4 linked regions of the Stegostoma tigrinum genome follow. The protein of the gene in region 1 purifies or fractionates together with the protein of each later gene. This does not show direct contact. Links are inferred from orthologs where the notes say so. Each region holds a gene or a part of one and is shown on either strand. Other genes may lie near its edges.

Region 1 (7,961 bases):
CTACATTGTCTCACTGAAAAGTTGTCTGTATGCTGCTGATTGCATAGAGAACTGGTTTTCCTTAGCTGCTAGCCCTGGACTGCTCCTGTACATGGTGAAATGTTTACAAGAGTTTTGCTACTTCTTCGACTTATTTTGGGCTTATGATATTCTTGAAAGATTTTGTGACCAGTAAGTGTGAATTCTATTGCTTCTTTTTGCTGGAGTTGCTTCTTGTGCTGTCCTGTGTGCTTAATCACTCTACATAAACTGCTTTCAAATCATAAGATAACAAAGTATGGAGCTGGATGAACACAGCAGGCCAAGCAGCATCTTAGCAGCACATCATTCTTTTTCTTCTGCTTCTTCTCACTGATCTTTCCTATTCCTTCTGAGTTTTGGCTTCATTGCTGTTTCCCACTGCCTTTCACCTGCTGGAGGGTCGTTTACCAATTTTCACCGTCTGTTACCATGATAACAGATCTTACAAGAGGTAGTGTCCTGTGCCAGGGTCTACAGAGACTGTTGATGCTAAGCTCTCGGTAAGATTATCTTGTTTTTTTTTTAATATTCTACCATTGTACTATCGGGCTTAGGACAAAATTCTACTCAGAATCATCTCTCTGACGCAGCCTGTGGTTAGCACTGCTGCCTCACAGCCCCAGGGACCTGGGTTCGATTCCAGCCTTGGACAACTGTCTGTGTGAAGTTTGCACATTCTCTCTGTGTCTGTGTGGGTTTCCTCCGTGTGCTCTGGTTTCCTCCCACAGTCCAAAGATGTGCAGGGTTGGTGGATTTGCAATGCTAAATTGCCCATAGTGCCCAGGAATGTTTAGTTTGGATGGGTAGGCCATGGGAAATGCAGGGCTAGGAGAATGGGTCTGGGTGGGATGCTCTGTGGAGGGGTGGTTGTGGGGCCAAATGGCCTGTTTCCACACCGTAGGGATTCTATGAAAATATGAACCCTTTGCAGGATGCATCATTTAACAATGGAATGTACCCATTTGGCCAAATGGAGGGATGCACAGAACATACCGCGGATATCAAGAAGAAGTGGCCATAAATATAAGATGGACACAAATATGTGCAGAAGGATATTCAGGAGAAACCTGTTGATTTGGGCAAGAATCTATGTTCCCTGTAATTTGTTCTGCTGCTGCCTGGGCCTACAAGATCTGTATGCGACCATGGGTGGAGAAACTGGAGGGGAATGAATTATTGTACTGTTGGCATGCCAATCGGTGTATATGGACCCTTGGACACTGCACAACTGCTTAGTGGGAATGTTAGTAAGAATATGGGATTGTTTGGCAGAGCATAGATACATTTGAGCAAATAGCTAAACTTGAGGCAACAACAAATAGAAGCTTTTCTGAAGCCAGCTGTGAAGAGTCAGTCCTATTGGATTTGAAACATTTAACTGTTTCTCTCCCCCACACGTGCTGCTCGATCTTCTGTCTGTTTTCATTCCATATTTCTAGCATCTGAAGTGATTTCTGTGTATTAAGTAATATAAGGGTGTTTGAAGATAAGGCTAGGAGGAAGGTTGTGTAGGACATAAACACCAGCAAAGGCCAGCAGAGTGGGGATTTTGTATGTACAGTGGTAGTGCCCTTACCACTAAGAGAATTCAAGGGTTCAAGGCCCGCCTGTTCCACAGGTGTGTCATAACACATCTGAATTTAAATAAGCAAAACAGCATAGGCTGCATGCTGTCTGTGTTGTAACTGCTTTGAAATAAGACCATTAAAAATAGGAACAGGAGTAGGCTGTTCGACCCCTTCAGCCTGCTCCACCATTCAACAGGACCACATCCACTTTCCTGGCCTTTTCCCATAACCCATGGTTCCTCCACAGATAAGATGATTGATTGATCTCAGCCTTACGTATGCACAAGGATTCTGCCCCTATAGTTCTTTGTGGCAAGGAGCTCCAAAGACTCTCAATCCTGTGACAGAAGAAATTCCTTCTCATTTCAGTCTTAAAATGGCACTCCTTTATTCTGACTCTATACCCTGTTGTCCTAGAGGGGAATATTTTACTCCGTCAAGCCCTTTAAGAATCTATGTTTCAAAGAGATCATCTCTCATTCTTCTAGACTCCAGTGAGTAGAGTCCCAACCTGTATAAGTCTATGACAAAGACTAAAGAGATATATGCCAGGGAAGCAAAGCCGTTGGTCCAACTCATCTATGCTGACCAGATATCCTAAATTAATCTAGTCCCATTTGCCAGCATTTGGCCCATATCCGTCTAAACCCTTCCTGCTCATGTACCAATCGAGATGCCTTTTAAATGCTGCAATTATACCAGCAATTACCACCTCCTCTGTCAGCACATTCCATACAAACACCACCCTCTGCATGAAAAGGCTGCCCCTTAGATCCTCTTTAAATCTTTCCCCTCTCACCTTAAAACCATGCCCTGTGGTTTTGGAAAGGACCTTGACTGTTCACCCTATCCGTGCCCCTCATGATTTTATAAACCTCTGCAAAGTCACCCCTCAGCCTCCAATGCTCCAGAGCCTATTCAGCTTCTCCCTGTAGTTCAAACTCTCCAAACCTGGCATTGTCCTTGAAAGGGTACAAAAAGGATTTACAAGTTTCACAACATCTTTGCCATTGTAGGAAGATCAGCATTAAACACGGTATTCCAATAATGGCCTAACAAAAATCCTGTTCAGCCACAACATGACCTCCTAACTTCTATATTTGGCCCACTGACCAATAAAGGCAACTGTACCAATGCCTTGATAACAAAGTGTGGAGCTGGATGAACACAGCAGGCCAAGCAGCATCTCAGGAGTACAAAAGCTTTTGTGCTCCTGAGATGCTGCTTGGCCTGCTGTGTTCATCCAGCTCCACACTTTGTTATCTTGGATTCTCCAGCATCTGCAGTTCCCATTATCACTGTACCAATGCCGCCTTCATTACTGCTAATGGACCAGACCAGACCCCCTCAAAATATTTTAAGAAGGTAGCCTTGACCCTAACCTTTTTCTTATTTTAAAGTTAGATGTGAAGTGCACGTTCCAGATGTGATGCAACTGGTCAAACTGCATGATGTTAAGCAAAACATAATTTTTAAACATTGCAGTTAAAAATGCAAACAAAAGAAAGATGAATTTAGAATAACTTAATTATTGGGAACCTTAACTGAATAAAGGTACCATACCTATTACTAATTAACTGTTCAAATGTAGTAACATCCCATAAACACGCCCCTTGGCAAAAAGCTAAATTCCGACACAGATTTGTACGTGCAATTCTGCAATCCAGGAGGAAACAACATCAAGAGAGATTTCCGAGAAAGTAACAGCTTTACTGAAGCCCCAACTCTTATGGGAACCAAACGGCTTCTGACCGCCAAAGCTAAGAAAACCCAGAAGTCTGATCTGTGTGAACTAGCCACTCCCGTTTCATTGTTACAACTGTTTCCAAAAACCTAGCCTCCTAAGTTATTGGCTTAAGCCATCTCCATAGCCCCTTTAGTACCTCTGCCATTACAGCCTTTCTTCAAAAAAACCCAGGACAAATAACCTTTTTAAAGTGACAGAATCATTACACTACCCCATCTACCTGCGATTCCACTTGCTAGGATCTACGAACCTACACTCCAAGGTCTCTTCGCTCGGGAACACTCCCCAGGACGCTACCATTAAGTGTATAAGTCCTGCTGGATTTACCTTACCAAACTAGAAAACCTCACATTTTATCTAAATTAGACTCCATCTGCCACTCCTTAGCCCATTGGCCAATCTGATCAAAGTAACATTATACTCTGAGATAACTGTTTTTGCTGTCCACTACACCTCCAATTTTGGTGTCATCTGTGAACTTCCAACCCATATCTCCTATATTCACAAGAAGACCGGAAGGCCAGGCTCGCAAGACAAGGGATGACCCTACTGAACCTTGTCTGAACGTCCTCCAAAGAAGTTATATTTTTCATTAAATAAGGGGGCCAAACCTGCTCATGATTCTCTGGGGTGGTCTCACCAGCACCTTGTAGAGTTACAGTAAGATCTTCCTATCCCTGTGGTCCAACCCACTTGAAATGATGTTGAGAATTTTTCTATCCAGTCACAGAATAGAGGTGCTGTTGGCCAGGTCAGCATTTATAGCTCATCCCCTATTGCCTGGAGGACAGTTAAGTATCGACCACGTTGCTGTGGGTCTGAAATCATACGCAGTCCAGACCAGATGAAGATGGCAGCTTCCTTCTCTAAAGGACGTTAGTGAATTAGATTGGTTTTTCCTAAAAATTGGCCATGGTTTCACGGTCAGCATTCGACTCTAAAATCCAGACATTTTTTTGATTTCAAATTCCACCACCTGCCATGGCAGGATTCGCACCTGGGTTTGTATAAATTATCTTGGTTTCTGGGTGAATAGTCTAGCGATAATGCCGTTGCCTCCCTGGATTTGGAATTCGTACAGTTTTAAAAATAATTGGGAAGGTGCAGCAGTATGCTATGACAGTTTACTGAAAACAACAAGTGCTGGCGATCACAGCGGGTCAGATAGTAGCCACGAAGACAGGGCAAGTCTTCAGTTCTGATGAAGAGTCATCCAGACTTGTAACGTTAACTTGCTCTCTCTCCAAGGATATTGTGCTCATCCAGCTCCACACTCAGTTATACTATCTGACCCGCTGTCATTTCCAGTATGTGTTGTTTTCAGTACAGATTCCAGCATCTGCAGTAATTTGCTTCTGCTATGTTTGTACAGGCGCTCCCATCGAAGTAATGGAAGAACCTGCGGGTCTTCAGAACCATAACAGGGAACTGGTCCACGTGCGCCCTCTGCCCACCTTGGCAACATCGCCGGGGATGATTGACGTCCGCGCGGACCAATCGACGCGCACCGGCAAAGACAGGCGGTTTCCATGACGTCGGCGGCCAATGAGAGCGGGTCAAGAGGGCGGAGCCTGGATGACCCTGTGGGGGTGGAGGCAGAGTCCATCACGTGAGCAGGCGCTGCAAGATGGCGGCGGCGTTGGCGAAGGTGGGAGCGTTGAAGAAGAGCCCGCGGTTGTCTTTCTGAAGCGGGTCTGGCTGTTATCCGGGCCGGCTCCTCCAGTAAGAAAACTTTTTCGGTTTCCCGTTCTCGTTCGAACGTTTATGTGGCGGGGGTAAGGAAAGTGGCGGTTGGGAACTGCTCCCAGGCTGGGGTCTTTGGTTTTGGGGGGGGTTGCGGCGGATGGAGAGAGGGGGATGGGGTCGCCTAATGTCGTGGGAGAGCAGTCTGTCTCGCTCACTCGGCCTGCTCTGGTTTCACCCACTGGTTTCTCCCCGTCTGTCTGTTGAGGTAGGCCGCTTCACTGCCTATTTAAAAAGCTGGAGTGACCACGGACTTGCGTCGAGACGAGTCCTTGTTCTTTAATTTAAATTGCATTGTGGACACCCAAATGTGGGAAAGTTTCAGAGCGAGGAAACTTTAGGTCTCCCTTCTCTTGGAAGGACGGGCATTTCTAACACCCAGCCCCTGAACTAGTCTTCGTGCCAGGTTTAAAGGTCGGTTTGTAGTTCTACTCGGTCCACTTGCCCCTGCCCCCACCTCCCCAGATTCTAGGACACTATGATGATAGTTGTTTCAAGTCCTCCCTAGTTCCATTGGAGAGGTTAGTGTTCAAAGATCGGTGCTTTCTGCGCTTTGACTGCTCTGACGTACTGTTTATAAGTCTGTCTTGAGATTGGTGGAATGCTCTTAGGTGGTGGAGAATTTTTTTTGGTACTAATCCAACTGCTTTACTGTAACGTCATAAGACAAGGAGCAGGAGGTTGCCCGGCCAATTCGCCTATTGGCAAGATTGTGATTGATCTGATTATGGCCTTCACCCCCCCCCCCCTTTTCTGCCTGACACAGTAAATCCTAACTTCCTTATTGATCAGTGTAACTCAACCTTCAGAATATTCAATGATGATCAATTCTAGTCCCCCCCCGCCTCTGTGGGAAAGATGTTGTGAAATTTGAAAATGTTCAGAAAAGATTTAGATAATAGGTGCAGGAGTAGGCTATTCGGCCCTTTGAGCCAGTACCACCTTTGATTATGATCATGGCTGATCATCCACAATCAGTATCCTGTTCCTACCTTATCCCCAATTACAAGGATGTTGCCAGGATTAGAGGGTTTGAGCTATAGGCAAAGGCTGCAAAGACTGTGGCATTTTTCCTGGAATGTCGGAGGCTGAGGGGTGACCTTTATAGAGGTCTTTAAAATCATGAGAGGCGCGGATAAGGTGAATAGCCAAGATCTTTTCCCTGGGGTAGGAAAATCCAAAACTAGAGGGCAGAGTTGTAAAATGAGATGGGCAACACTTGAAGGGATTTAAGCAGCATCCTTTTCACACAGAAGGTGGTGTGTGTATGGAATGAGCTGCCAGAGGAAGCGATGGAGGCTGGTGCAATTACAACACTTAAAAGGCCAGGAGGGGTGCATGGATAAGAAAGGTTTAGCAGGATACAGGGCAAATAGGACTAGCTCAGTTTTGGATATCTGGTTGATTTAGACCAAATGGTCTGTTTCCATGTTGTGTAATGTTGGCTATATGATACAATCTCTGTGGAAGAGAATTCCAAAATCTGAACTCCCTCAGAGAAGAAATGCCTTTCCTTGTCTGAAATGGAAGATTGTTTGTTTATTTTTAAATGATGCTCCTAGTTCAGGATTTTATTGATGAGGGGAAACATCCTCTCAACATCAACCCTGTCAAATCCCTTCAGAATCTTGTAAATTCCAACAAGATTACTTCTCATTTTTCTAAATATCTATGAATATGTGCTCAACTGTTCCTCACAGGGCAAATTGTTTGATCCCCAAATCAGCCTAGTGTTTCTTCCCTGAACTACATCCGACACAAGTATGTCTCTTCTTAAGGTTGGAGTCCAAAGCTGTACACAGTAGTTGAAGTGTGGTCAAATCGATATTCTGTACAGCTCTAGCAAAATCTCCTGACTTTTACATTCCACTCCGGTTGCAATTAGTTAATATCAATTATTTATCTGATCATGAGGCACTGTATGATGTTTAACTATAAAAGAACTAAATAACTACACGTTGACACAGTAAACTGATGCTATCGTGCAGGTTTGGTTGACCTTTTAATGTATATCTTCACTTTACTGAAAGCAAAATTGAAGAAAATCTGACCTTTCACAAATGAACCAGCATTATGCAAGGTTACTGTTTCTGCTTTAGGCCAGTGTTTCGAGGTCAGCCTGCATTTGTGCGTTAGCTTTGCTTTTGTTATTTAGTTATGCTTTACAGTAGGAAAGCGAAACCCAGTACTTATATAGTATGTCTCATCCTCGCGTTGTTTCAAAATGCTTTATAGCCAATAAGTACCTTTTGCAACATAATTACTGGTTTGTAGACAGATGTGGCAGTCAATTTGAAAGGACCCAAATAACACACAAGATAAATAAAGTGTGGAGCTGGATGAACACAGCAGGCCAAGCAGTGTCTTAAGAGCACAAAAGCTGACATTTTGGGCCTAGACCTTTCATCAGAAAAGGGGGATGGAGAGAGGGGGAGGCAGATCGAACATGGAGAGGAGAGTAAAACTGCTTGATGTCCAAACATGAAGGTGGAGGCAGTGGCTTCAGGACATGGTCAAGCAGTTTCAAGGCCAAAGAGATTACAAGAGAGTTGTGGTGGAAAAGAGATCCCCTGAGGTTTGTCTGGAGGGAGGACGGTAACACCTTCATGTTTGGACAACAAGCAGTTTTACTCTCCTCTCCAACTATCTTCTCCTCTGTCCATCTTCAATCTGCCTCCCCCTGTCTCCCTATTTATTTCAGAATCCTCTCCCCATCCCCCTTTTCTGTGAAGGCTCTAGCCCAAAACGTTGTGTGCTCCAAAGATGCTGCTTGGCCTGCTGTGTTCATCCAGCTCCACACTTTGTTATCTCTGATTCTCCAGCATCTGCAGTTCCCATTATCTCAGATAAATAGTGTTTTGTTTTGGTTGTGTCTTGAGATT
Region 2 (7,382 bases), on another chromosome or scaffold:
TCAGCATCCTGGAAGTTACCATTGACTAGGGACTCAATTGAACTCATTACATAAACACAGTGGCTACAAGAGAACGTCTGAGGCTAGGAGCACTACAACAAGTAACTCAATTCCCAACCTCCCCCCAAAGCCTGGCTGCTATCCACAAAGCACAGGAGTACGATGAAACACTGCTTCACTTGCCTGGATGCGTGCAGCTCCAACATCAATTTAAAAAAAAGCTTGACACCATCCAGGACAAAGCTGCCCACTTCACCGGCATCACATCCACAAGTATCTTTTTCCTCTACCACCAATGCTCAGTAGCAGCAGTCTGTACTATCCACATGACGCATTGTAAAAATTCACAAAGATCCTCAAACAGAACTTTCCAAATCCATAACCATTTCCATCCAGAATCACAAGGGCAACAGATACACGGGAAACCACCAAATGCATGTTCCCCTCTAAGCCACTCACCATCCTGACTTGGAAATACATCTCTGTTCCTTCACTGTCGCTGGGTCAACATCCTGGAGTTCCCTCCTTGATAGCATTGTGGGTCAACCCACATCACGTGGACTGCAGAGGTTCAAGAAGGCAGCGCACCACCACTTTCTGAAGAGCAACTAAGGATGGGCAATAAAATTCTGGTTGGCCAGTGATGCCCGTGTCCCACAAGTGAATTTAAAAAAACTACTAAGGGTGCACTACCTAAATGATTACACCTTCCACCGAATGAGATGTTAAACTGTCACCCTGTGAATCCTCTTCATTCAGTGTAAAAGACTGCATGGCACTATTTCAAAAGGGCAGGGAATTTCTTCCTGGTATCTAATAGTTATCCTTCAAATCAACATTACCAAAGCAATTCATCTAGTAGTTATCACTTTGCCCTTCATGCATTTTCACTGTGCTCAAATTGGCTGTAGTGTTTCTGACATTACAACAGTGACTACACTTCAAACAGGATTGCCTTGGCTGTAAATATTCCTTTGTGGAATTGTGGAAAGTTGTTGAAGAGAAAAAGAGAGAAAAAAATCTTGCATTTATCGTGCACCGTTCACAACCTTGAGACAACTCAAAGCATTCCATAGTCACTTCTACCTAACTTCCACAGACAGCATGACAATTAATCTGTGACTGAAGGACATCATGTTTGTCATGATTCTAAGGAAAGTTCTTTAGTTCTTCAAAATTAGTCCCGGGGATCTCAGATCCACCTGGGACGGAAAACAGCACAGTTGACAGTGCAGCCCTCCCTTAGCATTGTATTCCAAGTGTCAGCTTGTATTTTTTAATTGTTTACATAGTGGGCCTCAAACGGACAACCTTCTGACTCAGAGGCAGGAATGCTACCTTGTGAGGCACAGCTCATTCTTTTAGATGCTGAGCAATATGCCATACATTTCCAGAAATTCTGCTATCATCCCACACAAGTTCCTGCTATTCTTTATTCTTTGACAATGCGTGAATATTACATGCATCCTCTTCTATAAGACACACGGTGTCACGAGTACAAGATCCCCACAATGCTATCCAATACTTCACAACTTCAGTGGGATTTTAAAATTTAGAAATGTTAAAACTGCTGGTTCACCATGTCTGTTTTTAAAAAGATCCATCACGAATTTCACAGATGAACACTCTAAGTAGCAACTGCTAAAATGTTACAGGAGCAGCAACTTCAGAAAGATACATCACAATTGCATTAAAACTGCATAACTTTAATTTGCACATGTAAATGTAAATTGTTAGGTGAGGATAATGTCTGCATAGAATATTGTTTAAAACCAAAGGAATGAGAAGCAAAATAAAACAAATGATATAATAAATTGCAGGGCTCCAGGGAGAGAATAATGAGAATGCGCCTAATTGGATAACACCTTTAAAGATCCAGCACAGACACTAAGGGCCAAATAGCCTCCTTCTGTGTTGTAAGATTCAAATTTAGAAGAGAACGAGTCAAAGAAACTGAGAAAGAAGGCCGGACAGCAAAAGGGACGTGAGGTCAGAACTCAACAGTTGCGTGGAATTCACAACACAAAACAGGTCGTTCGGCCCATCTGTATTTTAAAAAAACTCTATAAAAGTTACCATCACAAAAAAAAGTAAAATAACTGGTCATTATCACGTTGGTGTTTGAGGGAATAGGGCTCCAATTGGCTGTTTTACATTGCCACATTGACGACTCTTCAGAAGCAACTTTGGAGTGGTCTGAGACCACGAAAAGCGCTATATAAATGCAAACCTGCGGCTCTTCGAACCGGACTCCGCCCCACCCCCCCCCCCCCCCCCAAAAAAATCAACCGATTTGGTAAATGCAATAGTCTGAGTACAACAACCTGGGAACTGCTTGGGCATAGTCGAGTTAATTCAGTGTCATACTTATGGAGAAAGTTTTGTTGCTAAACTCACCGAGGAGCCGGCCCAGAAGGGACAAGAGTTCCTGACGTTGGGGGACTCGGTGAGGGACAGAGCCCCGAAACTGAGAGACACGATGGAGAAACCCAGAGCGATCTGGAGTAGTCCCAGAGCGAAGAGGGAGCGGCCGTAGAGCGGGCAGTGCAGCGGCTGGCGTGCCGGGCTCGTATTGCTGCTGCTGCTGCTGCTGGAGTGTAGCGCTCCGGGCCATGACACACACCGAGCCCGGTTCCGAAGCGGTGCCTCCCCGCTCGGTGTGGTGGCTTGCACTGGGCAGCAAGAAGTGGGCAACAGCACTGGCAGTGACATCCGGCAAGAAAAGAGAGAGAGAGACAGACAGACAGTAAAAGGTTGACTGCGGGACTTGGTAACCCACAGTCACACCCCAACAGTGAAAATCACTGCGTTTACTTTGGTAAACCCCTTCAATCCCTCAATTCACTCAAAAGCCATTTGCTCGGAAATGCCTTTTAGGAAATGCATCGCTCTCCCAAGTCGCGGTACGTCCCACTTTCCCAACATTTTTTTTAACCCTCCCCTTGTTTTCCAAAGTGGCTGAGTTGACTAGTTTTAAAATAACTCCAGGCGAGTTTGGGATTGCATTACTAGATCTGGCACACACACAGAAGCCAGTCACTTTACAAGGGAGACTTTGACCCCCCCCGCGGCAGCCACAAGCTGTGGGTTTAAAACAAGACTAGGAAACCTAATTTTTAGATTTTCAAAACCAATCTTGAGGTTTTTAGTTTGACCTAACTGAACATTTTTTTAAAAAACTTGTATTTAATTCTTTTGCGGGCTCCATGTGTTCCACTATGTATTTACCTGTTTATCGACCTCGTTTATCGTGAATTACTAGTCCCAGTCGCCTTGCAGCCGTACCGATCGGGGGGAAAATTACAACCAGTGGAAAATACCGAGCATGTCAGTATTATTGACATAAAATTTCTTTTGTTCGATTTCAAAAATGCAGCCCTAGCAAGGTGTCTAGTTTTGACTACGATCTTGATTGAAGCCTGAAAGGGACAGACAGGTTTGTTGGCTGTAAAATAATAACGTTTTTAATCGACAGTACGATTAACATAAAACATCCGACGATCCTCACGAGAGTACCGTCAAAGTCCCAGCCGCAGAAGACAGAACAATGCTGGGGACTCATTGGAGTTTAGAAGAATGAGAGGTGATCTCAGTGAAACACGTCGGACTCTAAAAGGGCTAGTAAAAGCTGGGAGTGTGTTTTCCCCTCGTGGGGGGTGTCTAAGACCGGAGTGCATAGTCTCAGAATTAAGGGGACACCAATTTCAGGCTGAGGTGAGGAGGAATTTCTTCTGTGGGTTATGAGTCTTTTGGAACCCCTTGCCAGAGAGCTGTGGGGGTAGAATTGTAACAGTGATAATGGGAACTGCAGATGCTGGAGAATCCAAGATGACAAAGTGTGGAGCTGGATGAACACAGCAGGCCAAGCAGCATCTCAGGAGCACAAAAGCTGACATTTCCGGCCTAGACCCTTCCCGAAACGTCAGCTTTTGTGCTCCTGAGATGCTGCTTGGCCTGCTGTGTTCATCCAGCTCCACACTTTGTTAGCTGTGGGGGTAGAGTCGTGTTGTGTATTTATGGCTAAGATAGATCCGTAATCAGTAGGGGAACAAGAGTAATGGGGGCTGGGGGGAAAGAAGTGCAGGGAAATGAGGAATGTTGGATCAGCGACGATCTTATTGACTGGCAGAGGTGGCTTGAGAGATCGAATGGCCTACTCCTGTTCCTGTTTCATGTGGTCTCATACGTCAGATAACTGGAGAACTTGGCCAAAGTAGGCTTTAAAGAGCTGACTCGGGGGGGGGGCTTTCCAGAGTTTGCAGGCCAACTGGAGCTACAACGGGCACTGGTGGCAAAAATAAACTTGGTGCAATTCCAAAAAGCCAGAACTGACAGAGTGCGAAGAACCCAGAGATTTGTAGGGCTGGAGGCTGCCATAGCAATTCACATGATTAAGGCATTGGAAAGATTTGAACAATGTAGAATGTGAATTTTACAATCAAGGTGTCACTGGACCTGGGAGCCACTGATTGAACAAGACTTAGTGTTACTGGATGAGCAACAGTTTGTAGAGGGTGTGAGATGTGAGACTGGCCAGGACAGTGTTGGAATAGTCTAAGCTAGAAATTATTACAGCGTGGTTACCATAGTTTTCAATAGCAGCAAAAGAGGAAACTCACAATGTAAAAGTGTATGATTCGGGAGTGATTTCAGCAATTGTTGGAAAATTTCATGCTGTCTTGCATTTAACAATGGATAAACACATCATGGAATCTTTCTAGATAGCAAGACATAACAGAAGTACAGAAGGCATAAAGTGCTAAAATGAAGATTAATTACAGAGAATGTTATAGCACAGAAACAATCTGTTTTGCCCATCTGGCCAATATTTATGCTCCACATGAGCCTGCTCCTTTCTTATTTAATCTCACCCAATCAGCATGTTCTTCTATTCTTTGTGTTTCTCTAGTTTCCCCTTAAATGCATCTGTGCTATTTATTACAACCACTCCACATGATAACAGGTTCTACTCTTTAAGTAAAGGTATAAGCACCCAGTTTTTACTGTAGCAGAGCACCTAATGATGGCTGCAATTTGTTAGGCATGAACCTTGCACATTTATCTTATGAAATGTTTAGCATGACCACTTGCTGAAGGTACAGTCTGAGAATAGAGCAGCAGGGGAAGTCAAACTTTGGGACTTTGAATGAACAGGCAACTGTTCCAAACAAATAAATTGAAGAATTGGGAAAGAGAGTACAAGATTGGAACAAGGATACGTATGTTAATTTAATATCAAGACTATTGCAGAATGAAAACACTTACAATTTAATGTATGCTCAAATTATCTGCATCAATCTCCAGTCTTTTAAAGCCAAATAAATAAAACTTTTGACTTGTATGCAGTCACCTTTATGAACTAAGTTGAAATTTGAATTGGTGTTGAGGTTCCAAGATGGGTCCCTAACGATTCCTTTGACGTCAGATCTTACCAGTTAACTCCATATTGCCGTTTCTTCCTTTTTTTTAAATCACTCCTTATTCCAATTCCTTTTATTTATACTGTAAGTTGTTTGACAGTTTGAAATTGTCGTTCCTACATTTGACCTGTTGAGTCCAAGACATAGCTTCAGTAATACGGTATTTTTCTCAGTAGGCAGTTCTATTTGTTTCTTTATCTGTCCCACACTAATTTTAATCTGAACATTGAGATGAGAGATATTGGTTGGTATGAGAAGGGATTAAGATTACATGGTAAGGTGGGGAGGTGCTGGGAGCAGAGGAGTTGACCAGGGCATCCTGGGAGGTAAAGTGCCTATGAAATGTTAATGGGATCACTGGCAATGAGCATGAGAATCTGACTGTCAATGACATCCTTTTCCTTAGAGTATTCCTACTTCCCTTCCATCTTGATCCAGGCCTAACTCTTTCTGGTATTTTCTATCCTTCCACTGCTGCTTCTGTGCAGAATCTAATCAACTCCTGTCTCCAGCCCTTCACCACATCTTTAATGCTTCATCCAGCCCCGACACTCTGCAAGTATGAGTGGTGGGTCCAGAAGTGCCCTTAACCATAATTTATTTCCTTCATCTTCCATCACATTCATTTTCCTAAAATGTGTGTTTTCAAAATTGGATTCATTTGCCTATGTTTCGTTTTGAAAAAAAATCAAAGTAGAAGTTTGCGGTGGCACAGTGGCTCAATGGTTTGCATGTTCTCCCCATATCTGCACGGGTTTCCTCCTAAAGTCCAAAAGATGTGCAGGTTACGTGATATGGTGTTGGGAAATTGCCCGTGGTGTCTAGGGATGTGTAAGATAGGTAGATTAGCCATGGAAAATGCAGGGTTACAGGGATAGGGTAGGGGGTTAAGTCTGCATGGGATGCTCCTTGGAGGGCAGTTGTTGACTCAGTGGGCTGAACGGCCTACTTCCACACTGCAGGGAACTTTGATTAGGTATTGTCCTTCCGTCTCTTAGATGTTAGAAAATGTAATTATTCCAGTTGCTAAATGTAAAAACAAACACTGGTGAGATGGGAAATGTTCAAAATTCAACATTTTAAACAAAATTTAGCAGCAGAAAAAATTCTTTCAGCTTAACGCAGTTTGAGGTTTACAAAACAGAAGCTACAACAGAAATGTAATCACATTCACTCCCACACCCCCCCGCCATAGCACCCTGCATAACTTCGTTTTTAAACATGCAAGGAACTTTACTGATTAAAGCTTTCAAAAGTTGTCCACTCAGCTCATAAATTTTGACAAATAACAGCTCAAAACTGCCAGAGACTAAAGGAGAATATACCACTTGGCTGAATGTAAATGCACACTCTCAGAATGCGGAGTTCAAACTCAACTAGGAGCACTGTAACTCTGGCTGAAAACAAAATCCAGTGTAAGCTTATACTTTTGGTAGAAATGGAGCTCCTGAAGTTTAAAAATAATCAGAAGATTAATTTAATGATGACTAATAGTGTAATGCCCAAAATGGCATTGGCTAATCCTATTAGACAAATGTGCTGTAAAACAATGGTTGCTATTACATCCTGCTGGTGTATGAGAAAGCGAAAAGCTTTCCTTTCAAACAGAAGAAGCCAATATTTTTAATTCACAGATAGTAGGGGGTAAAATGACAATGATGCCACTGGACTAATCTAAGTGCTCTGGTGACGTGGGTTCGAATCCCACCATGGCAGCTAGGGAAATTAAATTTCAATTAATAAATCTCCAACATCAAGTTAAATCATGAAATTTACACTTATCATTACTCTTGTAAAAACTGGTACGATTCACTTATCCTTCAGAGATCTACCATCCAGATCTACAGTAATATGGACAACTGTCAACTGCCTTCTGAAGTAGCCTAGCAAGCTGTTCTGTTCCGGATCATTAATGCTGGCAACACAGGACAGAGTATGGGCACTCACTGCCTGCCAGTTGTA
Region 3 (7,997 bases), on another chromosome or scaffold:
TAGACCCTTCATCAGAGATACTGTATCACTGATACAATTCCCCTTAAGTACCTCCTGTTTTCCCTTTGAAACCAGGTTCCACATTCTTACCAAATAAAAACAGGAAGAACTGCAGATGCTGTAAACCAAGGACAAAAACAGAAGTTGTTGGAAAAGCTCAGCAGGCTTGAGTCTAGTTTTCCCAGCTTCCATCAGTTCTGAGGAAGGGTCACCGGACTCAAAACATTAACACTGACTTTTTCTTCACAGATGCTGCCAGACCTCCTGAGCTTTTCCAGCAACTTCTATTTTTGTTCCACATTCTTACGACTCTCTTGGTATAGAAGTTTCTCATGAATTATCTTTTGGATTGTTTAGTTGTACTATGTTTCTTAGTTTGGGTCTTCCCCACAGTTAATCAATGAAAATCTTGCAAAATCTTTCTTTGACTCTTCCTGATGGTTATTACCCCCATTTTTGGTAGCAATTTGTAAATCCCTTTTTCATCCACTCCAGTGCATTTAAGTCTTTATAATGTGGAGAGCAGAAATCTGTACAGTAATCTTGTGTGTGTGTTCTGGTCAAGATTCCAATTAAGTTTAGCATGTGTTCTCTGCTTTTCAATCATTTTTGAATTCTTTTACAGTATATGGATGCTGCAGGCTAGGCCAACAATTACTGTCCCTCTCTAATTGCCCTGGAAGAAGGTGGTGGGGAACAGTTTTATTTAACTGATGCAACACTTGGGATGTACTTAGTGCAGTAAGGATGGGATTTCTAGGATTTTGATCCAATGATACTGAGGGAATGGCAATATAGTTCCAAGTCAGAATGATGAATGACTTGGAGGAGAGCTTGCAGATGGTGGTATTCCCATGTATCCACTGTCCTCGTCCCTGTAGTTGGTAGAGATTGTGGGTTTGGAAACTGTTACGGAGGGAATCTTGATGAGTTGCTGCAGTGCTGCTCCTGTGCTTCAGTAGTGGAGAGTGTAAATGTTTATAATGGATGGGCTGCCAAGCTGGTGTTGTTTTGCCCTGTCAGGTATTCACATTTCTAGGTTCTGATTGTAATAATTGAAATTTTGTTTGGAACATTTTCAGTCAGTCAAGGTGCTGATTACTGAGCTGTTGTAAGCAGTTGCTATTTCTATTCCTAGCAGCAAGTACTAACTAGCTGAGTGTTTCATTTTGCCTTTCACCAGATACACTGAATTTATACCCAGTGAATGATTCCACCAGCATATTCTTGTGTTTAAAGTTTTTGAGAAGGCTTGTAGCTCAGGTTGTGGATGAGGTTGTTGATTTGTTCACCAGCTGGGCAGGTTGGTTTGCAGATGTTTCATCACCATACTAGGTAACATCATCAGTGCGCCTCCGATGAAGCATTGTTGGTCTGGCCTGCTTGTTATTTATGTGGTCCAGTCTGATGGGGTGGTTGGCTTCATTTCTACTATAGAGCAGAGCAGGTTGGTATATTGGGGTCTATTTTCATATGTTTATTGATGGAGTTACGGGCTGAGTACCAGATCTCTAGGAAATCCTGCGTGTATCTTTGGTAGGCTTCTCCTAAGATGGTTATGTTGTCCCAGTCAAATTGGTGGTTGTCTTTGTCTGAGTGTCTGGAAACGAATGATAGTTGGTTGTGTCTCTTGGTAGCTAGTTGGTGCTCATGTACCTAATAGCTATTTTACTCCTGCTCTGTCTGATGTTTGTGGCAATCCTCCGTGGAATTTTATACATAACATTGGTCCTGTTAGTTGTGGGTACGGGATCCTTTGTTCTTTTCAGTAGTTGTTGTAGGTAGCTGTGTGTAGACCCCATATACCAATCACTATGAAGCAGAAATGGATATGAAGCCAACTGCCACATCAGACCAGATCTCACAAATAACAAGCGGGACAGACCAACAATGCTGATTTGGAGGTTCACTGATGATGTTACCTACTATGGTGATGAAATATCTTCAAACTAAGCCACCAGCTCGGTGAACAAGTCAACAACCTCGTATTCTGGTGTCTTGCCCAGGTCACCCTTGACTGATCATTTGGGAAGTGGTTCCCAAGATTAGCAGTGAACTCACCCAAAGTTTAAGCTTTCAAACATAGCATTGCTACAACAGTAATCAGCAGTTGGAGCCCCCAAATGATTTTCCCTCTCCTAGCTGAAGCAGTTTGGCCAACTTTTTATTCCTAACACTACACTTGCTGGGATCAGCTAACTCAGCAGAGCCCCCGGGAATGGTTTGGCTCTGATACTCTGAAATTCTGTGGGCACAGAGATGGATTTATTATTGTGTGTCTGCCTATTGGGAATGAACATTGAAACTTCATACAACTGTGTGTTTATAAAAGTTTGGGAGTTTTTAAAAAAATATTTCTTGTGACATTGCTGGCAAGGTCAACATTTGTTCCTCATCCCTAATTTCCCTTGAAATGAGTAGCTTGCTAGGCCATTTCAGAGAAGAATGAATTACAGTGCCATTGGACTGGAGCCATACGTTGGCCATTCTAAGTAAGCATGGCAGATTTCCTTCCCCAAAACCGTGAATCATGGGCTTTTAATTATAGTCAATGACAGTTGTTACAGTCACTATTATCGAGAGTAGTTTTGAACATTGGTCTGGCCTGTGGATTACTAGTTGAGTGATATTAGACTATACTACCACCTCTCTCCCCACTGCCCTTAACAAACATACACAGGATCTTTACTCCTTTATGGTAGGGTGTGGAAGTGTCACAATCCAGAATCAGAAAAGACACAAGCCAACCTAGCTAAATCATTGAATGTTAAAGTCTCACCACTAGTGGTCCAAGAACCAATTCTTGTCAGATTAGTGATAACTAGGTGTAGAGCTGGATTAACACAGCAGGCCAAGCAGCATCAGAGGAGCAGGAAGGCTGACATTTTGGGCCTAGACCCTTCTTGGCAGAGCCAGGTCTATATGCAAGTCCAGTTATTTGATAATCACCTTGCCCTGGATATTGAAACCTGTGACCACAACAAAATGGCTTACATGCTGCTGGCCCTGGAGATAGAAAGCAAAATCAAAGGAAGGGCAGGACATGGTGCCAACCTGCATTAATAGGACATGAATGAGTAAGCAGGTGGTCAGTACTTTGTAGAGCATAAATGAGATGCTGTAGAAAGTTTTACTCAGACTTCAGAACACTACACTACAGGCAGGATATATGACCTTCAGATTGTGGTGAATCTGCTCTGCACTATGATACTAGAACAAAGAGGTTAAAATTTGAGGACAGGTTTTGTAAATGTGGATTGTGCTCGTTTGAATTTATCTGGTGACAAGTGATCTAATTGAATTCAAAATGTTAAAAGGATGTTTTTCTTAAGTTTCTGCCCGAAGGCAGGTTTGACCCACAATGTCCAATCTCTGCCATGAGTAGAGGAAGGAGGCAAGTCCTGATTCCAGCCCATCAGAACAGGAATCAAACCTCAAGCCACTAGCACACTGGCCATCCAGCTGTCTGAGCAGACCGACTCCCAAAGGAGTCAGAAAATCTGTGGTTAGGTGCACATTCACATGTTACAGTCTGGAGCTATGGACTACCATGGTGGAAGCTCCAGTTTTGTTCCATCCTGTGACTGACCAGGTGCATCTCCCAATCTTATTGCCTGCCATTGGGTATGTGTTGGCCAATCCATCTAGCCTGCACATCTTTGACTGAGAGAGGAAACAACAGAGTTCAAGTCTGATCCTTTTTAACCATTTTCTTTGTCTTGTATCCTAACAGCAATGAAGCCTGGCGGTTCAGCGGAGGCTTTCGTAAATCTATCACCTTCAGCGATATCTTCTTTCGAGGCTTCAAATGGGGATTTGCAGCATTTGTTGTGGCTTTAGGTGTTGAATATGCATTATTTTCTCCCAAGAAAAATGGAGGACATCACTAGTAAATGAAGACTGAAGAGCTTTGAAATTATGAAAAGCACTCAAACCTTTCCAGTCAGTGAGCTGTAACCAGTGCACAAGTCAAGAGGCAAATGTCTTTAAAGAATAAAATAATTAATTGAATCAGCACTGCTCTGCCGTGTTCCTTTTGAATCTTTTTTCACCATTGGTTTTAGCTCCCATTGCCAGTTTTCTCCTGAAGCTGGTGCCTGCCCTATGCTTGTTCCAGATGTGCTTTTATGTTGATTGAAAAGCACATGTGACATTTTCTCTGGTGTGCACACCCATGATTTATCCTTGGCCTTCTCTTTCTCATTTACCTGCTGCTCCTCAAATACATCATCAACAGATAATTCAGGTTCCACAACAAGAAGCCTCAGCATCACTTTTTCTTGATGCTTCCACTGTGCTGTCATTCTGCTTGTTGGATGCCCAGTATTGGATAAGGTCCAAGTACCTCTGATGAAATATTGGGAAGCCTTGTGAGCCATTGCCTCAAGGTGTCCTTAAATCATACAATGATAGCAGGCATTTGTAGCAAGTAATTAAGAAGGCCAATGGAATGTGGGAAAGTCTTGTATGACTGTGTGTGTACAATTTTGGTCTCATTTAAGGAATAATATTTGCATTAAAGGTTGTTCAAAGAATCATTAGTTTGTGGTAGTTTTAATGAGGAACGGTGGAGTGGGTTGGACCTGTACTCTTTAGAGTTGAGAAGAATGAAAGGTGATCTTGAAATGTAAGATTCTGATGGGACTCTGATAGGGTAAATGCTAAAAGGATCTACGTGGAGGGAATCTAGAACTGCGGCATAGATTAAAAATAAGGGGTCTCCCACTTCGAGTAAGATGAGGAGGAATTTCTTTTGGAGGCTAAGTAGTCATCTTCCCAGACAGCATCACTCAGCTCTATGGATTATTTGTCCAGTAACATAACCAGTTTGCTGCTGTACCTGAAACAAAACCGATGAAGCATAGTTCTTGCAGCATCGGTGGGAGAACGCGGAGTTTAATGTTTCAATTCCGGTGACTCTTCTTCAGAACCAAGTTGTATTTTTGTATCAGAACTCCAGGATCTGCAGTGCTTTGTTTTATGTTACAGTAGCTGCTGAGCTCTCTGAGTGCTGTGTGTGGAGTGGTGCAGGTATGTAGTGATTCTGGAGTGATGGTAGTTGAAGAGTGTATGGGGAGGGGATGAAGCATACAGGGGGGAGGAGGAGGAGGAGGGAATGGAGTTTATGGGAGAGGATGCAGGACGTAGGAAGGATGGGGGGGATGATGATGATGGTGTATGAGGGATGGGGATAGATGAGGATATATGAGGAATGGAGATGTGGATACAGGAAGGTTGGGGGTATATAAGCGAGATGATGGTATATGAGGGGCGGGGATCTTTACAGGAGAGATGGGGGGGAAGGGGGTATAGAGGGGCTGGAGATGAGGGATGTGGGAGGGGGATTTGTGTGGGAACACGAGGGGGGGGGGTAAATGGAATGCAGTCCTGGGGTCTGTCATTACAATGTGCCTGAGCTCCGGACAGTACCACGGTCCCAGGGCTCTGCTTCCCCCCCACCACCCCTCCCCGCCTGGGAGTCGGGGCCAGGGAGCGGGAGGAGGGGGGGCACGGGGTTCGGGCCCCAGTCCCCGGCCGAGGCCGTGGGGCTTTCACTTTCGCTTTCTCCAGGGGGCAGGAGAAGAACCGGAACCAGGGACGCGGTGATCGGGGCAGGTTGGTGCGTGAGGCTCGCACTCCCCGGCCCCGCGACGAGCCTCCACCGCAGACGGAGACAGCCCCGGGGCTGGAGGACGGGCCTCGGGTCTGGGGCCTGGGGCAGGAGGGGAGCCTGGGTTTTGGGCCGTGGCCTGGGCTGCAGGAAAGGCCAGGCGTTTGCATACCCCACTCCGGGAGATAGGTTTATAGGAGGTGAGGAGGTTTAAGCGATCTGCGTTGACGGGTTTGAACTTGAGGCAAAGCACGGAGCACACCGTGACATTGGAGCCAGGGGAAGGAAGTGGCTGGATGGAGCTGCAGCACGGACAGAATAGAACAGAGGGGCTGAAAGGCCTCCCCCAGACCTGGCAAAGCAATGAGCAGGGAATATTTTGAGACCACACTGACAAATCCCAAAGGGCTGAATGGCCTAGGATGCCCAGGCATTTGGTCTTGGAGACGGGTTAGCCTTCAGCCTGCTTATCCCGGTGACAATGTTTATTTTCAGTCTCTCCCTCTTGCCCCGTGATTTTCTGCTATTACTGGGATGCTGTCCTCAGCTGCTTCACCAGTGATCTTCTCTCCATCATAAGGTCAAAAATGGGGATGTCCGCCCGTGATTGCACAACGTTTAACTCCACTTGAGATTTCTCAAGTACTGATGCAGTGTATGACCAGATGCAGCAAGAACTGGGCAAGACTCAGGTTTGGGATGAAACGTAGCAAATAACATTTATAATATATAAGTGCCAGGCAGTAACCATTTCCACCAAGAGAGAATCAAACCATTGCTCCTTGACATGCAATAACGTCGCCATCACTGGCTACCCCACTACCAAATTCCTGGGTGTTAACATTGTCCAGAAACTGAACTGGATTAATCAAGTAAGTATTGTGCCTTCAAGAGCAGGTCAGAGGCTAGGAATCTTACAGTGAGCAACTTACCTCTTTATTCTCTGAAGCCTATCCACAATCTACCAGGCGTTAAGTTCAGAGTGTGAATACTCCCAACTTGCCTGGATAAGTGGAGCTCAAACTCAAGAAGCTTGACACCATCTACGGCAAAGCAGCTTGCTTGATTGGCACCACATTCGCAAAATTCCACTCCCTTCACCACCAATGCTCAGTAGTAGTGTGCTCCGTCTGCAAGATGCACTTCAGAAGTTCACCAAGACTCCTTGGACAGCACCTACAAAACCCTTAGCCACTACCATCTAGAAGGAGAACAGCAGCAGATACATGGGAACACGTCTTCTCATGTTCTCTTCCAGGCCATTTGCTGTCCCGATTTGGAAATATATTGCCATTCCTTCAGTGTTGCTGGGCCTCAACCTTTGAATTTCCTCCTTTATGATATTATGCGTCTACCTACAGGATAAGGACTGCAGTGGCTCAGGAAGGCAGCTCACCACCTTCTCAAGGCAACTTGGAATGGGCAATAAACAGTGAACCTAGCTGGTGATACCCATGCCTTATGAATGAATAAAAGAATCCTTTCACCGTCTTCTACCATGAAGATAAATATAGAATACTTGTTATGAAGAAAGATGCTTATGATAATGAATTTAGATGTGAAGTATAGGAGGAGGCTTGAGTGGAGCTGTAAACATTGGCATTGCTGTTTGATCAATTGGCCTGATTCTGTGCCATGTACCCTATCCACTGTTAATCATCTTGGGAGGCCGGGGTTCATGGGCTGAGGATGATAAGCATTTGCTTTGTAGGATGGGGTAACAAAGATAGTACAGAAATGGAAAATTTCAACTGCCAGAGTCTAATATGAGTGTGTTCCAATGGAGCAGAGACCATAAGGTCAGCAGAGGGGGTTCTGAACACCCTGAAGCCACACCATATACTTTCTCCATGCTTCTCCCAGCAATATAAACCGGTTGAGTAAAATCTCTGTTTATTCTCCAGGCAATGGTTTCCTTTTGAACGGAGAGTCAGATTCAGGATAGACAGACCTGTGGTTTGTAGCAGGTTCATGCGCGTGATGGGCAGAGAAGGCGCTGTCACAGAAGCAGTGCAACATTTGGAGTCGATGAGCGGAATGCCGTTAAACATTAATGCCAACAAGAAGCAGGACAGCTGCAGGTTTGTCATTGGTCCAAGGAACAAGCTGAAATCAGCAGAGGTTATTATTGAGAATGCTGTTAGTGAGTGGAGGAAGAGCAGGGATAGATTTAAAATTGTAATAGAGAGGATGAGCACACGATGATTGTTGATGCGGGCAAAACAAGCCTACACCAAAATGAATAAATGAGGAAATTCCAACTGTTTAAAAGCTAAGTAAAAAGAACAAAACAGGAGTGGTATTGGGTCTCACTGGCTATAGTGACAAGGCTCTTACTTATGAACACAAATTATGTTGAGGAGTAGGCCATTTTGCCACTATGGCC
Region 4 (7,307 bases), on another chromosome or scaffold:
TGCTTGATGACTGGCTTGGACTTGATGGGCCAGAAGACCTCTTTCTGTGCTATAAAAATTCCATGGCTCAATTGGGTAAGAAGGACAACAAAATCCTGATTATATGATTAATTTCCACAAACACCTGAACCCAGCTTGCTTTATTTACAAAAATGAGAATTGATGGGCAACAAAAGATGAGATCCATTTAAGTATAATGGTTAATGCAGCACAACACATGTACACCTCAACCCCACTGAAGCTATATGATTTCTTGGGAGAAGTAGAAAAAACTCTTTTCAGAACCAAAAACAAACCACTGCTAATTGAAGGGGAAAATAATTGGAAAAATTCTCTCCAGGCCCACCTTTAATGGTTAAAAGTAGTTCGAGTCCGTTCTTTTTCTAATCAATGTTGTGAGGTTACCTGTGCCCCAGAAACAGATATAGCTGTAGCTTGAAGTGATCTGCTAAATTGATCATCATCCACCAAAAACGAGCAGCCAGTTCACTGTTCTGTCAGAAGAGAAAAATGTACAAACGTTTAGCCTAGTTTTGCACTTGGCATATTCTGCAAGAATAATCTGTCCTAAATGATCAATTAGACAAGTACGTAGTACAAATAGTTGTTTGGTAATTTGAATTTGAACATTGCTGAAAAAAGATGTTTTGCTGAAGTTTTCTTCCACTTATCAGGACATTTTGCAAGAATGCAGATTCATGTACAAATTAATATTTATACTGCATAAGAGGAGAGTTCTGAGTGGCTGGCAAATACACTCTGGTTGGAACATTGCCATATTGAAAACACTCTATTGCTAATTGTCAGTTTACAGATGTATTCATCATTGGCAGTCTATCGCAGATGAGGATGACTCTCTTCCACTCTTGGTTGAGTCTGTAGGTGACTAAATGGACCAATGCAGCTACTGTAGGTTCCCTTATGCTTAGGGCAGGTGGTGTTCATGGGAAGGAGTGGGTGGGGCATTGGTGTGGTAGTGCGCTCCTTTCACTGTTTTTGCCTGACTTCCATTTTTACCTGACAGCAAGTCTCCAGGTGCTTGACATCTTCCCAGATGCTCTTCTACTTTAGATGTTCTTGGGCCAGTATTTCCTAGGTGTCTGTGGGAATGCTGCACTTCACCAGTGAGGCCTTGAGGGTATCACTGAAGCATTTCCTTTGTCCACCTGGGGTTCGCCTGCCATTCTTGAAGTTGGGAATAGAGCACCTGTTTGTCTCTTGTTGCTCATGTTGATATCCAGCACATCATAGCTGATCAAGGGTGGTCAGTGTCAAGATGTTGGCCTGTTTGAGAATGCTGATTCTTTCCAGCAGATTTGCAGGATCTTTTGCAAGCAGTGTTGGTGGTATTGCTCCAGTGCCTTGAAGTGCCATTGAGGAGGGTAGGAACTACCCCAGGTCTGTAAACCACAGGCGTGTTCACAGTGCATGGGGAAGGTTGTACCCTCATGATGACAGATTACTTATGTAAATATTCCATTCTTTGATGACTTAGCAACATGCTAAATGTAACAGTTGCTGATATAATGACTTACTTTTATTTATTCAGTGTTCCAGAATGGATAGCATCTGACAATGGGCTGCAGTTCACTGGCATGTATGAAGTGGGGAATGACCACATCACGTAATCACCTCACATTTAAATGGTCCAGCAGTGTGTGTAGTACTTCCTGCCAAATCAATGATCAAGTATGGAAACAAGTTTTTCACATTTTGTTGGTGCATCTTCATACAGCATCAATGGCGAAGCCATCACCAACCCCACCACAGCATATGCTTGGAAGGCAAGTACCATGTAACTTTGCCAAGTACCCAATTGTCTAATCATTCCATGACAACAATATTTTTCTTCAAAGACAGAGGAGAATGAAAGAGATAAATGATGAGTGAACAAGTAGAGAAATACCACAATTACACAGTGGACAGAGAATGACTTAGAAATACATATACTTGAATATAGCAATAGTTTCAATCGTGCAACTGGCCCAGATCATGTGAAGTCATTACGGCTCGTGGTGCTACTTTGAGAAAGAATATGTGCCAGCTCGAACAATGTACAACACACCAATCGTGTATGATGAGAATGAGGAAGAATACTGTGATGATGATGATGATTGTGCAGCAATATTGAGTAACAGTAACCAGGAAAATTACAACCAAATAAAACAGAGTACAAATAAAACATGTACCTCTCCACATGGGTATACGATCACCAGATCGGCGCAAGTTGTCAAACCTCCAAAGCTTTATATTGAACTCTGAATTGTTAATTTTGTAAACTCTGTTTATACCTGTTCATGTAATTACCTAATTGACAAACCTGTTTATGTACAACCTTGTATTTCTTTTTGAGATCACTTTTTATCTTTGAAAAAGATGTTGCATTAGGTTCACGGGTAGCATGTCAGCATACCTGATAAGGGAAACGATCTTGATTCATCACTGTCTCATAGTATGTGAACTGAGGGTGTAAACTTCTTGGACTCTATCAGAACCAGAGGGCACAGTTTAAAAATAAGGGGTAGGCCATTTAGAACAGAGCTGAGGAAAAACTTCTTCACCCAGAGAGTGGTGGATATATGGAATGCTCTGCCCCAGAAGGCAGTGGAGGCCAACTCTCTGGATACTTTCAAGAAAGAGATGGATAGACCTCTTAAAGATAGTGGAATCAAAGGCAGGAGGGATGAGGCAGGAACAGGATACTGATTGTGGATGATCAGCCATGATGATAATGAATGGTGGTGCTGGCTGAAAGGGCTGAATGGCCTACTCTAGCACCTATTGTCTATTGTCTTAACTTGGACTACTTAAAGTATGAGACTCTGATGGAAGCATGCTGCTCATTGTAACCAAAGAGTTATAATGAATGTCCACTGGATCTTTCAATGCCACATTTTCTGTGTACTAGTTTCTTATGTTGTGAAGGATGACACAACTATTACTGTATCAGGTAAGGATACCCTGCTGTTGGCAAAACATACCCCACCAATGCAGGTATTGACTAATTCCAACAGCAAATTGTGCAATTATCTCTCTTTGATATTTAAGGTTTTATTCAACAGCATTGCTCTGACTGAATCAACATCCTCCAGGCCATCATTGTCCAAAACCTTAACCAGACCAGCCACATAAGCATCTTGAAGCCGTGTATTTTGCAGTGAATAGCTCACATCATTCTCAACCATTTGCAGTGCACAAATCAGGTTCCCTATTTGGGGTGTAGTGTATCTGTATTAATATTCTAGTAATTTACTGCTAAGCACGGTGTAGTGTATCTGTATTAATATTCTAGTAATTCACTGCTAAGCACAGGCTAGTCTATTTGATCAGAGCATCATCCTCTAACTTAAATATCAATCTTCTACGTCATTGACTATGTTGTGTATTACCCACAGTATGCACACCAATCATTCATCTGAAATGTTATGGCAAGACTTCCTAAACCACCTGCTTTACAACTGGGAGAGGCCAGGGAAGCAGGTGAAACAATTCTCCTCTAGTTCCGCCTCACCCTCAAATGTTCCTTCATTTTTAAGTCAAAATCCTGGAATGCACTGTCTAATTATATAGAAGGATTATCTTCATTACACAGAATACAGTTATATACTTAAGCTCCCAGTAGCAACTACGAGAGCGACCAAGCATGGACGAGAAAAATTGACTTCAGAGGTGACACTTTAGGAATTTAAAAAAAACTTGTTTCTTCAACTTGTTTGAACAAATCTAAACGATTTACAGGTGGATTGTGTTGTTGAATTATGATTTTATTTGGATCAAGCCGAAATAAAACATGTGCTGGAAAAACTCAGCATGTACGGAGATAATTATAGTCCAAAACGACTTCTGAACGAAGTTCACATTGGAGTCCAAGGATTAACTCTGTTTCTCCCTCCACAGATGCTGCCAGACCCCCAACCCCACACTCTTTTTGTTTCGGATCTTGAGCAATGAACATTGTTTTGCTTTTTTCGAATGGGTTTTAAATTCATATGCGTTTATTTAACGCGTGAAACAAGGACGTTATTTGATTCTCAGTTCATTTTTAAAGGTAGGTGAAACATACTCCACAATGTCACCTGTTTGCATCGGGGGCACCCCCGCCTCTCTCGCGCCGCGTAGCCAGCCGAAGTGCCTCTGCAGGCGTCGTGCGAAGCCCATTGGAAGTTGAAGTCCAGGCGAGCTGATCCTGGCAGGGAAACGGGTTAATCCATGGGAACCAAACGACTACACTTCCCAAGCTGCACCTTGGTTTTATTTTCCACCAAGCGCAAGCGTAGAAACAACGAGCGGGGCCGGCAGGTGAAAGACGCTGGAGAAAGGTTTTTTTTATTTTCCCCTCCCTCGTCACGTTGAGTTTGGAAATGGTGGTGAAAGAGGGGGGAGCACGGAAAGGTTTGCAGAATATTTCAACAGTAAGTCATTTATTTTTCGAGAAAGGGTGAATTGCTTCGTAAAACTATTTAGAAATATAGCTAACGTTTGGCAGGGAATTACTCCTCTGTTGGCCGGACACCTAACAAAGAACAGGCTTCAATTAAATTGCATGTGGAGAGAAAATTATTAACTCGCAATATAAATGATGACAGCGTATCTGTGTTGCAAACGTATTATACGATTACATGCCTCTTCTCTAATTTCCAAATTAAATGGTGAAGTAACATGTAAAATGAACCTTTGTTTCACTACTTCACGTCTAACGTTGTAAATCTCCGCTCCTGCTTCGCCCAGTCTGATGCTAAAACACTGATCTTTGCCATTCACCATCCTGAGTGAGCTTCAGCTCATTTTAAAGCACAGCGGGCTGTGTTGAATTCAGCACCATCTCCCATTCTACTGTCTCCCCTGTTTTTCTTGAGTTTGCCCCACCGCGGCCACCAAGAACAACACAAGCAAAATTCAAATTCTTACCCAGGTTTTGACTTTCAAATGAGCATGGTGCAACAAAAACTACACGGTTCTTTGTAAACTAGATGTTCATCTAATTTGTAAGCCTGTCTATGTGTATGGAAGAATGCTACAATATCTTAATCTAAGCCCCGATGCATATTGTTGGACTCCAACCTGGTGTCGTGTGGCTTCTGACCTTGTCCACCCCAGTCCACATCATGGAACAAATAGGATTAGCAGCATTTAACATTGTAGGGTTTTCTTTTGCAAAGATGTACTTTATTCACTAAGAAAAATAAATCTTTATGTACATACACAGTTACAGAAGTAGTTCTGATCACTAAAGTTTTTGCGTATGGAGAAGAAAATAAACATCGGAGTTTGATTTTTCATATTAGGTACAACTAATCCAAAGGCATTTCTTAATTATGGAAAGTAGTTGGAACTACTGACATGTATTTGAGGCATCAGGAGTGTCCAATAACTCAACGGGCCCCTGTTGTATTTTGGCAGAAACTGTGGTGGTCATTCCCTACTGCACCTTGGTGGCAGCTGTCCCAAGCTTTAGTGCATCCTTCAGCACATAGTCCTGGACCTTGGAATATGCGGCTGCAACACTCGGTCAGGGTTAACAGTTTGCACTGGAAGACCAGCAAATTTTGGGCAGATCACAGGGTGTCTTTCACTGAGTTGATGGTCTTCCAGGCATGGTCGATGTTTGTCTTGGTGTACATCCTGTACAGAGTCCTGCGTCATGGAGCTGCTTGGGACTAGCCTCGTCAAAAACCTCTGCATCTCTCTCCAGACTTCCTCTGCATAGCCACATTCCAGAAGGAGATGGGAGATAGCCTCAATCCTCTTGGAACCGCTTTGAGAGGATTTGTCCGTGCATGAAAGATCTTGCAGCTAGTGCCCTTCTCTCCACCAGCCAAGCTGTTGTCTTGATGCTTGTTGAAAAGTTCTGGCAATGAGGAATTCTTCCAAAAGGCTTTGACAGTCTGCTCAAGGAACTACCCGACAAGATCAACTATCTCCTTTTCCTGAAGTGTCTTGAGGATTCTATGTGCTGACCACTTCCTGGTGGACTTGTGGTCAAAGGTGTTTTCTTTCACAAATTTATCCATGAGGGACAGGTCATATGGGATGGTCCAACTACTTGGAGTGTGCTGTGGTGACGAGGCCTGACCCATCCTTCGTGACACTATGGACAGGTAAAATCTCAGAACGTAGTGACACAAAATATCTGCGTACTGAGGGTCTAAGCGCAGCTTGATATAGACACACAGAAAGGTGGCCATCAGGATGAGGGTGGCATTCATTCTTAACCCGCCCCCAACCCCAACACATTTAATACACGGTGTCCCTTTGGACTCGATCAATCTTAGACCTCCAAATGAGGTATATGGCGGCTTAGGTCACTGCAGCGATGCAGGCTTGGGGAATAGGCCAGATCTGTGCCACGTACAACAACATTGAGAGGATGTCACACCTGATGACCAGGCTTACACCTGCAATGGAGAGCTAACGGTTCTCTCATCTGCCCAGTTTCTGAGGCATTTGAGTTCAAGTAATGTAGTGCTGATGATATTATTTTGCTCTTTAACTCTGCAAATAAGGCTTCAGTTCAAGTCCACAGCTCGAGTATTCTTAGTTTCCCAACAGTGTGGAAACAGGCCCTTTGGTCCAACACATCCACACCGGGTCGGAAATTGGCTTGTTGAAAGAAGACAGAGGGTGGTAGTTGATGGGAAATGTTCATCCTGGAGTCCAGTTATTAGTGGTGTACCGCAAGGGTCAGTGTTGGGTCCACTGCTGTTTGTCATTTTTATAAATGACCTGGATGAGGGCGTAGAAGGATGGGTTAGTAAATTTGCAGATGACACTAAGGTCGGTGGAGTTGTGGATAGTGACGAAGGATGCTGTAGGTTGCAGAGAGACATAGATAAGCTGCAGAGCTGGGCTGAGAGGTGGCAAATGGAGTTTAATGCAGACAAGTGTGAGGTGATGCACTTCGGTAGGAGTAACCGGAAGGCAAAGTACAGGGCAAATGGTAAGATTCTTAGCAGTGTAGATGTGCAGAGAGATCTTGGTGTCCGTGTACAAAGATCCTTGAAAATTGCCACCCAGGTTGACAGGGCTGTTGAGAAGGCATACAATGTTTTAACTTTTATTAATAGAGGGATCGAGTTCCGGAACCAAGAGGTTACGGTGAAGCTGTACAAAACCCTGGTGTGGCCGCACTTGGAGTATTGCGTGCAGTTCTGGTCACCGCATTATAAGAAGGATGTGGAAGCTTTGGAAATGGTGCAGAGGAGATTTACTAGGATGTTGCCTGGTATGGAGGGAAGGTCTTATGAGGAAAGGCTGAGGGACTTGAGGCTGTTTTCATTAGAGAGAAGAAGGTTGAGAGGTGACTTAGT

What was found.
Region 2: the proteins of E3 ubiquitin-protein ligase Itchy-like (region 1) and fam189a2 purify together in Homo sapiens (co-immunoprecipitation; 3 studies listed by BioGRID and IntAct, counting the BioPlex papers as one, with this or other methods). This does not show direct contact. The link is inferred for Stegostoma tigrinum from reciprocal best matches to the Homo sapiens genes ITCH and ENTREP1.
Region 3: the proteins of E3 ubiquitin-protein ligase Itchy-like (region 1) and cflara purify together in Homo sapiens (affinity purification with western blotting; 8 studies listed by BioGRID). This does not show direct contact. The link is inferred for Stegostoma tigrinum from reciprocal best matches to the Homo sapiens genes ITCH and CFLAR.
Region 4: the proteins of E3 ubiquitin-protein ligase Itchy-like (region 1) and amot purify together in Homo sapiens (affinity purification with western blotting; 3 studies listed by BioGRID). This does not show direct contact. The link is inferred for Stegostoma tigrinum from reciprocal best matches to the Homo sapiens genes ITCH and AMOT.

The regions. Positions count from the first base shown.
Region 1 is NC_081372.1:11,186,666-11,194,626, forward strand, and holds the start of E3 ubiquitin-protein ligase Itchy-like, read left to right. Parts: upstream 1-4,944; 5' UTR 4,945-5,058; intron 5,059-7,961. UniProt on the Homo sapiens protein: Acts as an Acts as an E3 ubiquitin-protein ligase which accepts ubiquitin from an E2 ubiquitin-conjugating enzyme in the form of a thioester and then directly transfers the ubiquitin to targeted substrates.
Region 2 is NC_081356.1:28,054,705-28,062,086, reverse strand, and holds the start of fam189a2 (endosomal transmembrane epsin interactor 1), read right to left. Parts: upstream 3,016-7,382; 5' UTR 2,713-3,015; coding exon 2,398-2,712; intron 1-2,397. UniProt on the Homo sapiens protein: Functions as an activator of the E3 ubiquitin protein ligase ITCH in the ubiquitination of the CXCL12-activated CXCR4 receptor. Thereby, triggers CXCR4 endocytosis and desensitization, negatively regulating the CXCL12/CXCR4 signaling pathway.
Region 3 is NC_081360.1:19,688,847-19,696,843, reverse strand, and holds the start of cflara (CASP8 and FADD-like apoptosis regulator a), read left to right. Parts: upstream 1-4,982; 5' UTR 4,983-5,031; intron 5,032-5,406; exon of another isoform or gene 5,407-5,811; intron 5,812-7,515; exon of another isoform or gene 7,516-7,692; intron 7,693-7,997. Other genes in the region: ndufb3 (NADH dehydrogenase [ubiquinone] 1 beta subcomplex subunit 3), read left to right, coding at 3,734-3,890. UniProt on the Homo sapiens protein: Apoptosis regulator protein which may function as a crucial link between cell survival and cell death pathways in mammalian cells. Acts as an inhibitor of TNFRSF6 mediated apoptosis.
Region 4 is NC_081368.1:25,793,425-25,800,731, reverse strand, and holds the start of amot (angiomotin), read left to right. Parts: upstream 1-4,292; 5' UTR 4,293-4,412; intron 4,413-7,307.